Canis lupus familiaris: one gene and its partners. The protein of the gene in region 3 purifies or fractionates together with the protein of the main gene of each other region. This does not show direct contact. Links are inferred from orthologs where the notes say so. Each region holds a gene or a part of one and is shown on either strand. Other genes may lie near its edges.

What was found.
Region 1: the proteins of INTS6 (region 3) and PPP2R1A purify together in Homo sapiens (affinity purification with mass spectrometry; 4 studies listed by BioGRID and IntAct, with this or other methods). This does not show direct contact. The link is inferred for Canis lupus familiaris from reciprocal best matches to the Homo sapiens genes INTS6 and PPP2R1A.
Region 2: the proteins of INTS6 (region 3) and POLR2C purify together in Homo sapiens (affinity purification with mass spectrometry; 3 studies listed by BioGRID and IntAct, with this or other methods). This does not show direct contact. The link is inferred for Canis lupus familiaris from reciprocal best matches to the Homo sapiens genes INTS6 and POLR2C.

Annotation. Positions count from the first base shown.
Region 1 is NC_049222.1:105,634,043-105,638,284, reverse strand, and holds the start of PPP2R1A (serine/threonine-protein phosphatase 2A 65 kDa regulatory subunit A alpha isoform), read left to right. Parts: upstream 1-1,392; 5' UTR 1,393-1,497; coding exon 1,498-1,575; intron 1,576-1,912; exon of another isoform or gene 1,913-4,242. UniProt on the Homo sapiens protein: The PR65 subunit of protein phosphatase 2A serves as a scaffolding molecule to coordinate the assembly of the catalytic subunit and a variable regulatory B subunit.
Region 2 is NC_049223.1:58,230,585-58,234,817, forward strand, and holds the start of POLR2C (DNA-directed RNA polymerase II subunit RPB3), read right to left. Parts: upstream 2,820-4,233; 5' UTR 2,751-2,819; coding exon 2,665-2,750; intron 2,509-2,664; coding exon 2,459-2,508; intron 576-2,458; coding exon 507-575; intron 142-506; coding exon 89-141; intron 1-88. UniProt on the Homo sapiens protein: Core component of RNA polymerase II (Pol II), a DNA-dependent RNA polymerase which synthesizes mRNA precursors and many functional non-coding RNAs using the four ribonucleoside triphosphates as substrates.
Region 3 is NC_049243.1:602,041-605,677, forward strand, and holds part of INTS6 (integrator complex subunit 6), read left to right. Parts: intron 1-32; coding exon 33-401; intron 402-1,431; coding exon 1,432-1,525; intron 1,526-3,571; coding exon 3,572-3,637. UniProt on the Homo sapiens protein: Component of the integrator complex, a multiprotein complex that terminates RNA polymerase II (Pol II) transcription in the promoter-proximal region of genes.

The DNA of each region.
Region 1 (4,242 bases), on a different chromosome or scaffold from region 3:
ACAGAGACTGCCTAGAATCAAGCTGATGATTGAGCCTGTTTCTGATGCAGAGGTATTTTTCATGGGGAACAAAGGACTAGCTAAGGACAAAGCACAAGCCCTGGGAAGTACATTGACAAGTCCTTGAAACAGGGGGAGTGATGTTCCTCTACAGACTCAACTGCCTTGGTGTTCATACTTTGCTAAGGGCAAAAGGCAAGATTAGCCAGACACCCAGGATCCTGTAAGTCTACTTTAACATATAAAAATTCCTTTAGAAATTCCCTTTATCTCTAAACCCCCAAGATACATATTGGCAATCATCCCACAAGCACGTGGCTCACCAATATACATTTGAAGGGTCTCATGACTCAGGTTTTATTAGACGGTAATAAGTGACCTTTTCTCAACAATAGCTAGCCCCCTCAAGGTCCTGGAAACCTTGCTTCCAAAATTCCTTAGAGTATGCTATCCTCAAACCCCTCCCAACCCCCAGGTATATAATCAGCCACCCCTCACAGGCCTAGGGCAGCAGCTCTTCCTGTCCACGGGTCCTGTCCCCGTGCTTTACTAAAACCACCATTTTGCACTAAAGACGTTTCAAGAATTCTTGGTGGTCGGTTCTAGACCTCACCTATAATTCCAAAACTTCATCAGTGGTAGTGGTAGTCGTATGTGGTTCTGAGGGCTGGACGGCAGTGAACGGGAGACATTTATGCAGAGATCTGCTCTCCAAGGAAAGGGATGTTTTGGACAAATGCTGTTTGACGTGAAAAAGCATGATGTACTGCGAGGGCTCTAATTTTTCAGGGCCACTGAAGTGTAAAACGAGAAGTGGAAGATGCGCCTAAGTACGGTTTAGGAACCAGATTCACAAGGGCCTTGACTATCAGCCTGAAGGGCTTGAGTTTCATCGAGAGAGTAAGGCAAGTCACCAACCTTCGGGGGGCCTCCGCATAATAAGGCAAAAACCTAAGGCTCATTCCCATCTCCTCCCTCACAGAGTTGCCGGCAGTACGTCCACCAGGAACCAGGACCACTGCCTCACAAGCCAAAACTTGCAGACTGTCCGGGTCCTCACATGACGTCACGCACTCCAAGCGACGCATGCACAGAAGCTTTGTGCTGGACCGGCCAGAGGGCAGTCTTTGCTTCCTCTGAATCCCTCCATTTATTGGTTAGGTACAACTGCTCGTCTCCCTCGTCGTTAGCGGCGACGTAGGCGGGTACAATCTTGGTCGCTAAGATACCGCGTACTTCCGTTTCCTTCCCCTCTCTGCTATACTGAGACCGCCGACTTCGTCCCTTCAACCAATGGCAAATGGGCAGTGGGCGGGGCTTCACTTATCCGGACCAACGAAATGCGGGCGTCGCGCGGCCAATGACCGTGGGGCAGCCCCTGTAAAGTGGCTCAGGCGACCCCACGCTCGTCTTCCGTCCTCTGCCCAGCCCTACCCTTCCTGCCCCGGTTTCAGCACGGCGCCGGCTGCAGTCTGACAGGAACGGGACGGAACCAAGATGGCGGCCGCCGACGGCGACGATTCGCTCTACCCCATCGCAGTGTTGATAGACGAGCTTCGCAACGAGGATGTTCAGGTCCGGAGGCTACGGGGGTCTTGGGGAATTACAGGAAGAGGTAATGGGGGCACGGACGGCCCTCGCGGAGAAGGCTCAGTGTTCGCTAGGAGTGGCGGAAGGGGGAGGCGGCCAATCAGCGTCCGGCTTTCACGTTTCCATGTCCCTGGACTGGATGAGAGGGCGCCCGGGATTGGGTGTTGGCCCACTGGAGGGCGGGAGGCAGGCCAGCCTGGAGGCGCCCGGGCCTGCCAAGTGCGCGCGGCGGCCCGGGTCCTGGGAAGCTGCGACTGGGGAGGGGGTCAGGCCACTGGGTGGGGCGGAGGGAAGGGCTCGGTGATTGGCGGCGGCCCCAGAATGGCCTCTTGGGGATGGGGCGCGCGGCCTATTCCGAGTGGGGGAGGGGCCCCCGGTGTGTGGGGGCTCGGGTACGTTTTCTCCTTACTGTGTTCTGGCGGCTGGGCCTCAGCGCCTTGGGGTAAACTCTCGGAATGGGGCTTGAGCGGTGACGGCTGCCCTTCCAATTCCTGCTCTCCCTCCCTTTTCAGTTTTGGTGTAGAATCCACGAGGGGAGGTGCGGCGAGAACACCCCATTCCCACGAGAGCAACTGGCCAAATTTAAGCACGGATTTCGAGATAGAGATTCTCCCGCCTTCTGGGGCCCTGCCGGGCTGCGGTGGGCAGTTGACTAAACAGCCTAGCACATTTCTGGTGAAGGGCTGAGAAGACTGAGGACTCCACGGTTTGCCCACCCCGGCCCTACCTCCCACCCGCCGTGTGACCTTGTGCAAATTACTTCATCGCTCTGGGCCTGTTTTCTCTGCAATGTAGGCTAATAATAGTTCCGGCCTCCCTGGGTGGTTGTGATGGCCTGGACGAGTTAATACTGCAAGTAAAATAGAACGGTGCCTAATTGTTATAAGGGTCCAATAAATGTTAGCTGCAATTATTGGGAGTAGTAATGGAAGAGGTCCCATTCCTTTATAGGAGCTTCCATTTTTCTGTTTATGAAATTGAGCGGATTGCATTAGGCCCAGCCTCTGAAGTTCGAGGTAGATCACTGATTCTGGAGTCAGACAGGCTGCTGCTGTACTTCTTGCTAATTGACATGGGCAAGTTTGTTAATCCTCTTGGCCCTGGCTTTCCTCTTCTCTCAGATGGAGGTAATTATCTGGTTCATAGGGCTCTTGTATGAATTCATTTGTTCAATAAACACCTGCCCCATGTCAGTTATGGTGATAATGGTGACACCAGTTGTTATACAAGAGGCAGATGTGAAACAGCTGAATAGATTATTAACAGTTGTGAGATGTGGGAAGGAAACAGGGTATTGTGATGGTGAATCAGTATTTATTGGGCCTCAGCTCTAGGTAGTGCATTGTTTTAGGCACATGTATACAAAAAGGAACAAGGTGGACAAGAACTCCTGGACTCCTACAACTTTTATGTTGCCTGTGGAGAAACAGACAATAAGACAATTAAGTTAAAATGTATACCATGTAAGATGGCAATAAATGCTTTGGAGAAAAATGAAGCAGGGATGGAGAGGACGGGAGAATGTTACACAAGTTTAGAATGACTAGGCAAGGCCTTATTGAGAAGGGGACATTTTAGCAGAAATGTGAATGAGAAGCAGGCCTCATAGATATCTGGGGGAATAGCATTCCAGGTAAAGGAAGCAAGCGCAAAAGTCCTGCAGCAGGAATATGTAATGCATGCTCTGAGAACTGCAGGAAACCAGTGTGACAGGAGCCAAAGGAATGAGCTGTTGGGTGTCAGGAGATGAAGATAAAAGGGACTATGACTCAGAGGGAACTTGTGAGCAGTCACTTAAACTAGGTGTTGCCAGATCATTGAGCACAGTGGTTAAGAAAGTTTTTGAGATGTTTTATGGTACAGCTTAACAAGTTTAAGTAGCATGAGGACCTGTGGATAGAAAGAGCTGTACTTCTGTATGAAGCCAGTGGTTATATGCATGGTGCTCAAGGGGCAAGGGATGTGGAGGGAGTATTAGATCATAAATGTTTTCGAATTTCTAATTGTAAAACTAATTTCACAAGATTTCTCTGGTATTAACTATTGGTGAGATATAGAGGCACTCTTTAAGAATGTAGCAAACAGGTTTTTTGTCCTTATTGAAACTATGCAGCTCTAGGTCAGCCTTCTGGGCTAAAAATGAACATATTTCTGCTTCTATCCCTCATCACAGGGATTGGCAAATGGCAAAGGGTGGCCCTTTGCCTTTTTATTTTTTTAATAGAGTGTTATTGAAAACACAGACTCTTCCATTTACATATTATCCATGGCTGCTCTGTGAAACAATAGGGTAGAATTGAGTAGTTGCAACAGAGACAAGTTTTGGCCCCTTAACGCCTAAAATATTTACCACCTAGTTCTTTACAGGAAAGAGGATGCCAACCTTTTTTTTTTTTTTTTTTAAGATTTTATTTATTTATTCATGAGAGACAGAGAGAGAGAGAGAGAGGCAGAGACACAGGCAGAGAGAGAAGCAGGCTCCATGCAGGGAGCCTGATGTGGGACTCAATCCCAGGACTCTAGGATCACGCCCTGGGCCAAAGGCGGCGCTAAACTGCTGAGACACCCAGGGATCCTGAAAAATAGATAATTAAACAAAATACGAAAACTCGACTTGAACCACCTCTGTATTAAATCCTATCCTCTCTTCCC
Region 2 (4,233 bases), on a different chromosome or scaffold from region 3:
CATGATCTCCAGCTGGAAGTAAGAGGTCAGGAAAATGCCTCTGAGGGCTGCTTCCTTCCTGCCCCTTCCACCCAATCACACAACATACCCGGGAATACTGCAGCTTGTCCACAATGTCATCACTAGTCAGGGGGATTAGTCCTGGAAGAAACAGAAATGCACTTTAAAGAGTCCAAATCGGGCAGCCTGGGTGGCTGAGCAGTTTAGCGCCGTCTTTAGCCCAGGGTGTGATCCTGGAGACCCTGGATTGAGTCCCATGTCAGGCTCCCTGCATGCAGCCTGCTTCTCCCTCTGCCTGTGTGTGTACCTGCCTCTCTCTCTCTCTCTCTGGGTCTCTCATGAGTAAATAAAATCTTTATTAAAGAGAAAAAGAAAAAGAAAAAAAAAGTCCAAATGGCAATGGCCAAGCCTAAAGGAGAACCTAGAAATCCTTATGGGAGTGAGGCTTCCTCCTCTGACGTCAGGCACAGCCCCCTCCCTCTCACCTTTCAACACCCAGCACTCACCAAGTCTGTGAGCGATGAACTCATCATGAAGGACTGAGGAATTGGCATCAATTTGGACCCAGTCAATGGCTAAAAAATAAGGCAAGCAAACATGCAGTTTAGCCACCAAATTTAAAGACTTACAGCAGTTATTCTCCTGATTTAAAAAATCACCTGATGTTTACTAAATTACAGAGGCCTGGGCCAGGCAGCCAGAGGCTGATTCTGCAGCTTGAGTGGGGACAAGGGATCTGCATTTTAACAAGATCCACATGCAACACAGCTCCCTTCCCTACTCAGATTTAGTGCAGGGTGAGGGTAGGGGGGGGAGGTGTGCTGTCCCACTCAAAATACTGACTTAGAGAATACTAAGGGATACTAATCATGGGATTGGGAACATGTTTCCTTGAGCTGAATATTTCTGTAGGAAGCATGTTGTCTGCTATGCACATCAACACCAAATCAAACACAAACTACATGGGCACTTAAAATAGAGAAAATCTCACAAAAAACAGACTTATGGTCCATATCTCATTTTATGATGCAATGACCAGATTACCCAATTTAAGTCTTTTTATCAACCAACTAACGTTTAAAGAATTCAGCGGGCACAGCATAGTAAGTATCAAATTCAATTCCTACCAGCAACGAGCTAATAAAGGTAAGGACTGTATTCCCACACACACACTTGACTTAAAAACATATTCATTTATAAATAAAATACCTATACGCAAATTCATAAGTGGCCAACTACCAAATAAAGGGTGTGGACACTGGGAATGGGAGTCAGAAGAGGACTAGACATTTAGGACCCAATCTGCTTTGTCCTACGCTAATGCTTCCCCAACCCAAGTCAGATAAGACCCATGAGCCAAGCTTTTCTGTCTTCCTACTCCCTCCAACCCCACATGACCTTACCCTCCCTTGGGGAAGTTACGATCCTCTGAGCCTCCTATAAACCAAGCGTTGCCTGACCTCCACGAAACAGACACTAATACTCCCTCACAAAACTCTGACCAGACTAAAGACATTTGTCATATTTTTGCCTTGTGCTGTATTTGTGTATGTCTTGTCTCTACTGCAGAGCTTTGAAAAATCAGAGAGGGTGGTCTTCAAACGCCTTTGGCTTTCCCAGTGTGGCCTGCAATGTAACAGGTGCTCAGTATTACTTGCAGAACTGAATCTGTGGGAAGAGTGCCGTTTAGACTTGTAACATCAGGGCTGCATCATAAAGCACAACTTTCTTATTTTACTCATGATAAAATTGAGACCCAGAGACTTGGAATGACTAGGGACGGGGGAGAACCAGCACTCCAAGCTCCAAGCTGAAGAAGTGACTGGGGATGACGGTAGTGCAGACTGTGATGTTCTTTCATTTGCCAATCAATGGGCCTGCTCATTTCCTTAGGGAGTGCAGCAGCCAGAAGTTACACTTCGTTTTCCAACCCAAAGTTTGAGTCAACATTCAGAAAATACTTGTAATGTTTATACACATAAAGAACACCCGAGGTAGGGTTGCTGGAACTAAAGCAGATCTTCGTTCCTCCAAACACCGCAAGCGCTGCAGTCATACTTCTCCTGAACTGCTTGCTGATGCACATCTGCCCCACAGTCGTGTCATCTGTGGATTCGCCTCTGCCCTGCAACTTCACCGTGCGCTCCACAAGGGCAAGAACCCCGCGCTATGCAGCTCTGGGTCCCCAGTTCCTAGCACACTGCCTGGCGCTTCTACGTTCCCTACGTGCAGCAGACGGGACGGATTCACACCCGAGTACGCAGACTGCCGTCCACTCTGCGCCGATCCGTACGTTAGGAGAGGACCCTAGCGGCCCCGGGCCAAGGGTACAGGGTCCGAGCGAACGCCCAGCACTGCTGTGTTCTCAGAGCCACCGCCGCGCCGCCCCAACCAAGGGCTGGGGGCAGGGCCCGAGGTGTGCGGAGGGGGCTGGCCACGACAGGCGGCTTTCGCTTACCTATTATGGGCACCTCGGCGATGAAGACCCTCCGGATGGAGTTGGCCACCCTGAGGGATGCAAACAAAGCGGCGTGAGCGCGCCGCAGCCTCGACGCCGACACCCCGCGCCCACCCCTGCCAAGGCGGACGCCCCGCTCTGCGGCCCGGCCCGGGCTCCAGCCCCCCGCGCTCCGCAGCCGCCCGCCTCCTCCCTCGGGGCCTTACGCCAGGTCCGTGTTCTCGATGATGAACTTGACATTCTCGTCGGTAAGCTCGGTGATCCGCACGGTGGGCTGGTTGGCATACGGCATGGCGCCCCCCGGCCCGCCGCCCGCTGGGACTCGGCGTCGGCGCCGCCGCCGCCGCCGCCGCCGCCGGAAGTGGGCCAGCGCGGCCCGCGCCGCCGGAAGTGGACCAGCGCGGCCCGCGCCGCCACCGCCGCCGCCTCGCGCTTACAGCGCCGCCTGTCGCCCGGAGGCCGCCGCGGCTCTGGGCCGCACGTTCTACACTCCCCACCGGCCGTAAGCGCACCGGGGCCAGCCAGGCGCGGGCGGGAATTGGCAGAACGTGCGCACGCCCTCCACTCAACAGTAACACTTCTAGGAATTCATACTGCGAAAATGCCCGCAGTCGTAAGCGAAGACAGGTTCGGGGGCGCTCCCTGCAGCGCTGTTCATAACGGCCAAAGATAACAAAACGAATTGTCTGTTGACAGAGACCACGTTGAATACACGACCATAGGGATACTAGGGTGCCTTTAAGGGAATGAAGTAAATCTGCACATTTATGGAAGAACATGAAGTGTAACTTCGTCAAAGTCTGGCTCATACTCTTCTGAAACTGCAGAAGATATGCTGCTTTTTATCTCAACGCATCATTCGCAGCTTGCCTAGTTATGGCGGGTGGGTGGCAGTCATCTCCACGCCGCGACTCTGCATGCCTGGCACAGTGCCCCTCAGAGGGTGGATGCTTAAGACATTACCAACGCTCCACCCCACAACGGCCTGGAGAAAGGTTTGAATGGGCAGCCACTCATAACACAGAAGAGGTTCTGAAAATAGAACTTAGCAGGAGCTCCATTTAAGGGGCTGAAGAGTAAGAGAGGAGATAAAGAATTTGCCTTAGCTGGAGGTGACTCTTCCTGAGACAGACAGAAAGGGTACTGAAGGGGGTTGTGCTTCATAGCCTGTGTCATCTCAGGAAATTAAGGATTAAGGTTGTCTGCTGAGGGCAGGAAGGATGCTATGAAGGATAAAGAATGGAATAAAATTTGAAATAGCTACTGTAGGGGACTTGACAGGGAGTCATGATACAAAGAATTAAATAGGTACAGAGAAGGGCTGGTGTAAGGCCAAGATTGGAAACACCTATTAGCTGGTGACTCCCCCCCGCCCCCTCCCATCAATACTCAGTCAACTTAGGTTGGACATAATGCCGCAGATAGAAGCTCTGAACTAAATTGTGTCCCTCTCAAATGCTGAAGCCTAGCACCCGGTGTGGTATTTGGAGATGGGAGTCTTTGGGAGGCCAGGAGGGTAGGAATAGTGCCCTTGTAAGAACAGGAGGAGACATTGTAGTTCTCTCTCTCTGCCCTATTCAAACACAGAGAAAAGGTGGCAAGTTAGACTTCGCCAGGAACTGATCTGGCTGGCACCTTGATCCTGGACTTCCCAGCCTCCAGGACTGTGAGAAACACGTTAAGTTGCCCCATCTCTGGTATCTTGTTATAACAGCCCAAGAACACTATGACAAAGGAGTTAACCAGACTTGCAAAGGGAGACCCAGCTAGTGTAT
Region 3 (3,637 bases):
TATTTATTTTTTTTACTTCTCTTTGTTTTTAGTTTCAGAAGCCACTAATGATTCGACAATAGATGATGTGGTTGAAAATCATGTTGCAGACCAACTTTCATCAGATATTACACCAAATGCTATGGATACTGAATTTTCAACTTCTCCAGCCAATTTACTGGAACGACCAACCAATCATACAGAGGCTCTTGGTCATGACCATTTAGGAGCTAATGACCTCACTGTTGGTGGATTTTTAGAAAATCATGAGGAACCAAGAGATAAAGAACAGTGTCCTGAAGAGAGTCTACCAGCATCTTCACTGAACAAAGGAAAGAAATTGATGCATTGCAGAAGCCATGAGGAGGTCAACACTGAACTAAAAGCACAAATAATGAAAGAGATCCGAAAGCCAGGAAGAAGTATGTATAATTAGAGGCAAACCTCATATTTGATTTCTGTGTGTGCTCAAAGAAGAGAGATTAATCAAAAACATAGACCTGATTCTAGATGAGTGCTCAACAACGTAGGAGCTGTATGATTAGGTTCTTTATTCATCCTACAAACACTAAATATCTGCTATGTCCCCAGTATTGTGGTGTAGGGGGGGTGAGCAGGAAGTGCTGAGAGCGGAGCTTAGAGAACACACAGGTCGGCAGCACAGAGTTCCTACCGGGGCAGGAACCTGGTGTCCTTCGTATTTTCTACACAGCAGCTGCAGTGGGATGGAGCAGCAAACCCAGCAAGATGGAGCGAATGTTAGATGACTTCATGTCTATAAAGTTCCTGGCCTAGCGTCCCCACTGTGTTTAGGGTTTAAACTATGATGGTGACCAGGAGGAGTATGTTTAGGCCCCAAAATGGAAGTTACAGAAACTATATATTTCACGAATACAAAAGGAGTTTGTGAGATACAATTTCAGTATTATTGGCACTCATTCAAGAGATGTTGGCAGATCCCCTGTCTGATGGTACAGTGACCCACGATGGTTCAGAAGTGGGCAGGTCAGCCCTTGCCACTTAGAGCTTATAGTCCTTGGCAGAGTTTTAGGTGAAAACCTGAAACTGAAATAGCACTTTCCTCGTTTCTCACCCTGCTCTTTGCCCCTCCCTACCATGGGAACTGTAGTTTAGAGATTAAATTATAAGGATGGAGGTGCCTTGCTGCTGCTTTTTCAGTGGCACTATCAGAAAGCTATTCACTGATTTTTCTCAGTTTTGGGTTTGTTTCTTTATGGGAATTTTTACCAAAAATTCAGTTTAACAAGTTATTTTATCTTTGCTGATATGTGAAATGTGCGTATTATAAAGTTTTTAATGAGTGGTGAAAATTTTACGTAGAATATCTTGGTTTTGTGTACTACATCTTGATATAGTAAACTGCAATAGAAAAATAATAAGAGTGTGTAGAAAAGCCACTTAACTTTTTCTTTTTGCTTCTCTTGTTTTAAGAATATGAAAGGATCTTCACGTTACTGAAGCATGTGCAAGGCAGTTTACAAACAAGACTAATATTTTTACAAAATGTCATTAAAGAAGCATCAAGGTAAAGAATCTATTACACATTTTGAAATGATTATGAAATGAGTCCCCAGCTCACAGTCAGGTTTTTAACAGTACTTATTTTGAACCTGTGATAGTATGCATGTGTATGACACACTCATGTGTATATAAGTTTCTCTTTTTCTTTTTTTTTTTTCTTTTTTTAGTTTATTGAAAGAAGTCCACTTAAAAAATAGCCATGCACAAATTTTTCGCCAACTATGGACCTTTTCTACCTACAGATTACAGATACTTGCATAATTCTCATTTATCCTACTCTGTGGCTTTTGGGGGGGGGTCTTTATACTTTTTAACCTTTAATTTTTTTCCTTTGCATATTTGGGCTATAGTTAATATTAACCAGTGATTAGCAACAACCTCGAAAGACAATATTTGTACGTGGGAAAACATGTAATTAAGGGGAGCAGAGTTGGACAAATGGGCCTTATTCTGATTGCTTCAGTAGCTCAGGATTATGTACTTTAATACAAGGAATGTGGATCAAGATTATAAATGGTAACTATGAAGTGCAGTTAACTGGAAAGCATAGTTGTAGTCGTTTAGGGAGTATAAAAAACACTTTTCTTTCACGATTTCTTTAGTATTCTTTTTTTTTTTTTTTTTAATTTTTTTAAAATTTTTATTTATTTATGATAGTCACAGAGAGAGAGAGGCAGAGACACAGGCAGAGGGAGAAGCAGGCTCCATGCACCGGGAGCCCGACGTGGGATTCGATCCCGGGTCTCCAGGATCGCGCCCTGGGCCAAAGGCAGGCGCCAAACCGCTGCGCCACCCAGGGATCCCTTTCTTTAGTATTCTAAGAAAACTTAGTGTTCATCTTATCTGACCTTCTGAATATACCCACCCTTTAATAATCCCCTAGTTTCGTCCATGCTACACATAAAGGTATTTTTAGTTGGACCAGTTAATTTTTTTTTTTTTTTTGAGTGGCTAGAGCATATGCCACTTTGAAGGTTCAAGATCAGACCATAACTTTTCATGTTGTTTTGAGTATTTCATCTGTTGTTTTCTTTATGTGACATTCTAGCAACTTAGACTTCATGGATTTAGCTGTATTCCTGGTGCCTGCCCTCCATTTTTGCCACCTTGTAGAGAGATGTGGAATATTAGGGTGGCTCTTTATACTAATTTACAAGTAGAGAGGAAGAAGGTATAGATTGGACAGTGTTTTGATATTCTCATATTCTAAAAAGCATTAGCAGTGTTAATACTTCTGTAGACAAATGCAATTTTAAGCTACTATATTAGTGGAAAAAAGTTAAATTACCACTTGAACTGTTGGCTATATCCTATACTACAGATGTCTAATAATCCTTGATTTGCTAACTTTCAAATTGTAATAGTAGAACCCAAGGGTTTTTGTTTTTTTGTTTGTTTTTTTTTTTCAAGATTTTATGTATTTGAGAGAGAGAGAGAAAGTGAGCGAGTACAAGCAGGGGGAGAGACAGGCAGAGGCAGAGAGAGAAGCAGGGAGCCTGATGTGGGACTTGATCCCAGGACCCTGGGATCACAACCTGAGCCAAAGGCAGACGCCCGACCTATGGAGCCACCCAGGCTTCCCTAACCCAAGGGTTTTTTAATGCTGCCATCCAACTGTTCGTTTCTTCTTCTGTCTTGGGATTATATTCATACTTTTTTCACATTCAACATTCAACTTTTAAAGAGCATAGGAAGCTATTGGAGTCATTGCTTTGGAAGTCTAAATTTTGTTAGAATATATGTAACCCTTGTAAATGGTAGGGTTTCTTGTTTTTCTTTTCGGATGTGAAACAAATAACCTGCTTCCATTTACCTGGGCCTGGGTTATTTGTTTTAGGAACAAACTGTAATTCTGCACTGATAAAATAATTTGCTTATCTGCCAATGGATTTTATATATCATAAAGTTGTGTTTTTTCATTTTTATTTTCCTTTGAAAAATCTTCCCAAGGCAGTTTCTATCTTTAAAACGACAAAACAAAACACGAACACTCTGATCTACATCCATTAAAAAGAAATTGAGAGTGCTATTACTTATTTTTTTTATACAGGTTTAAAAAACGAATGCTAATAGAACAACTGGAGAACTTCTTGGATGAAATTCATCGAAGAGCCAA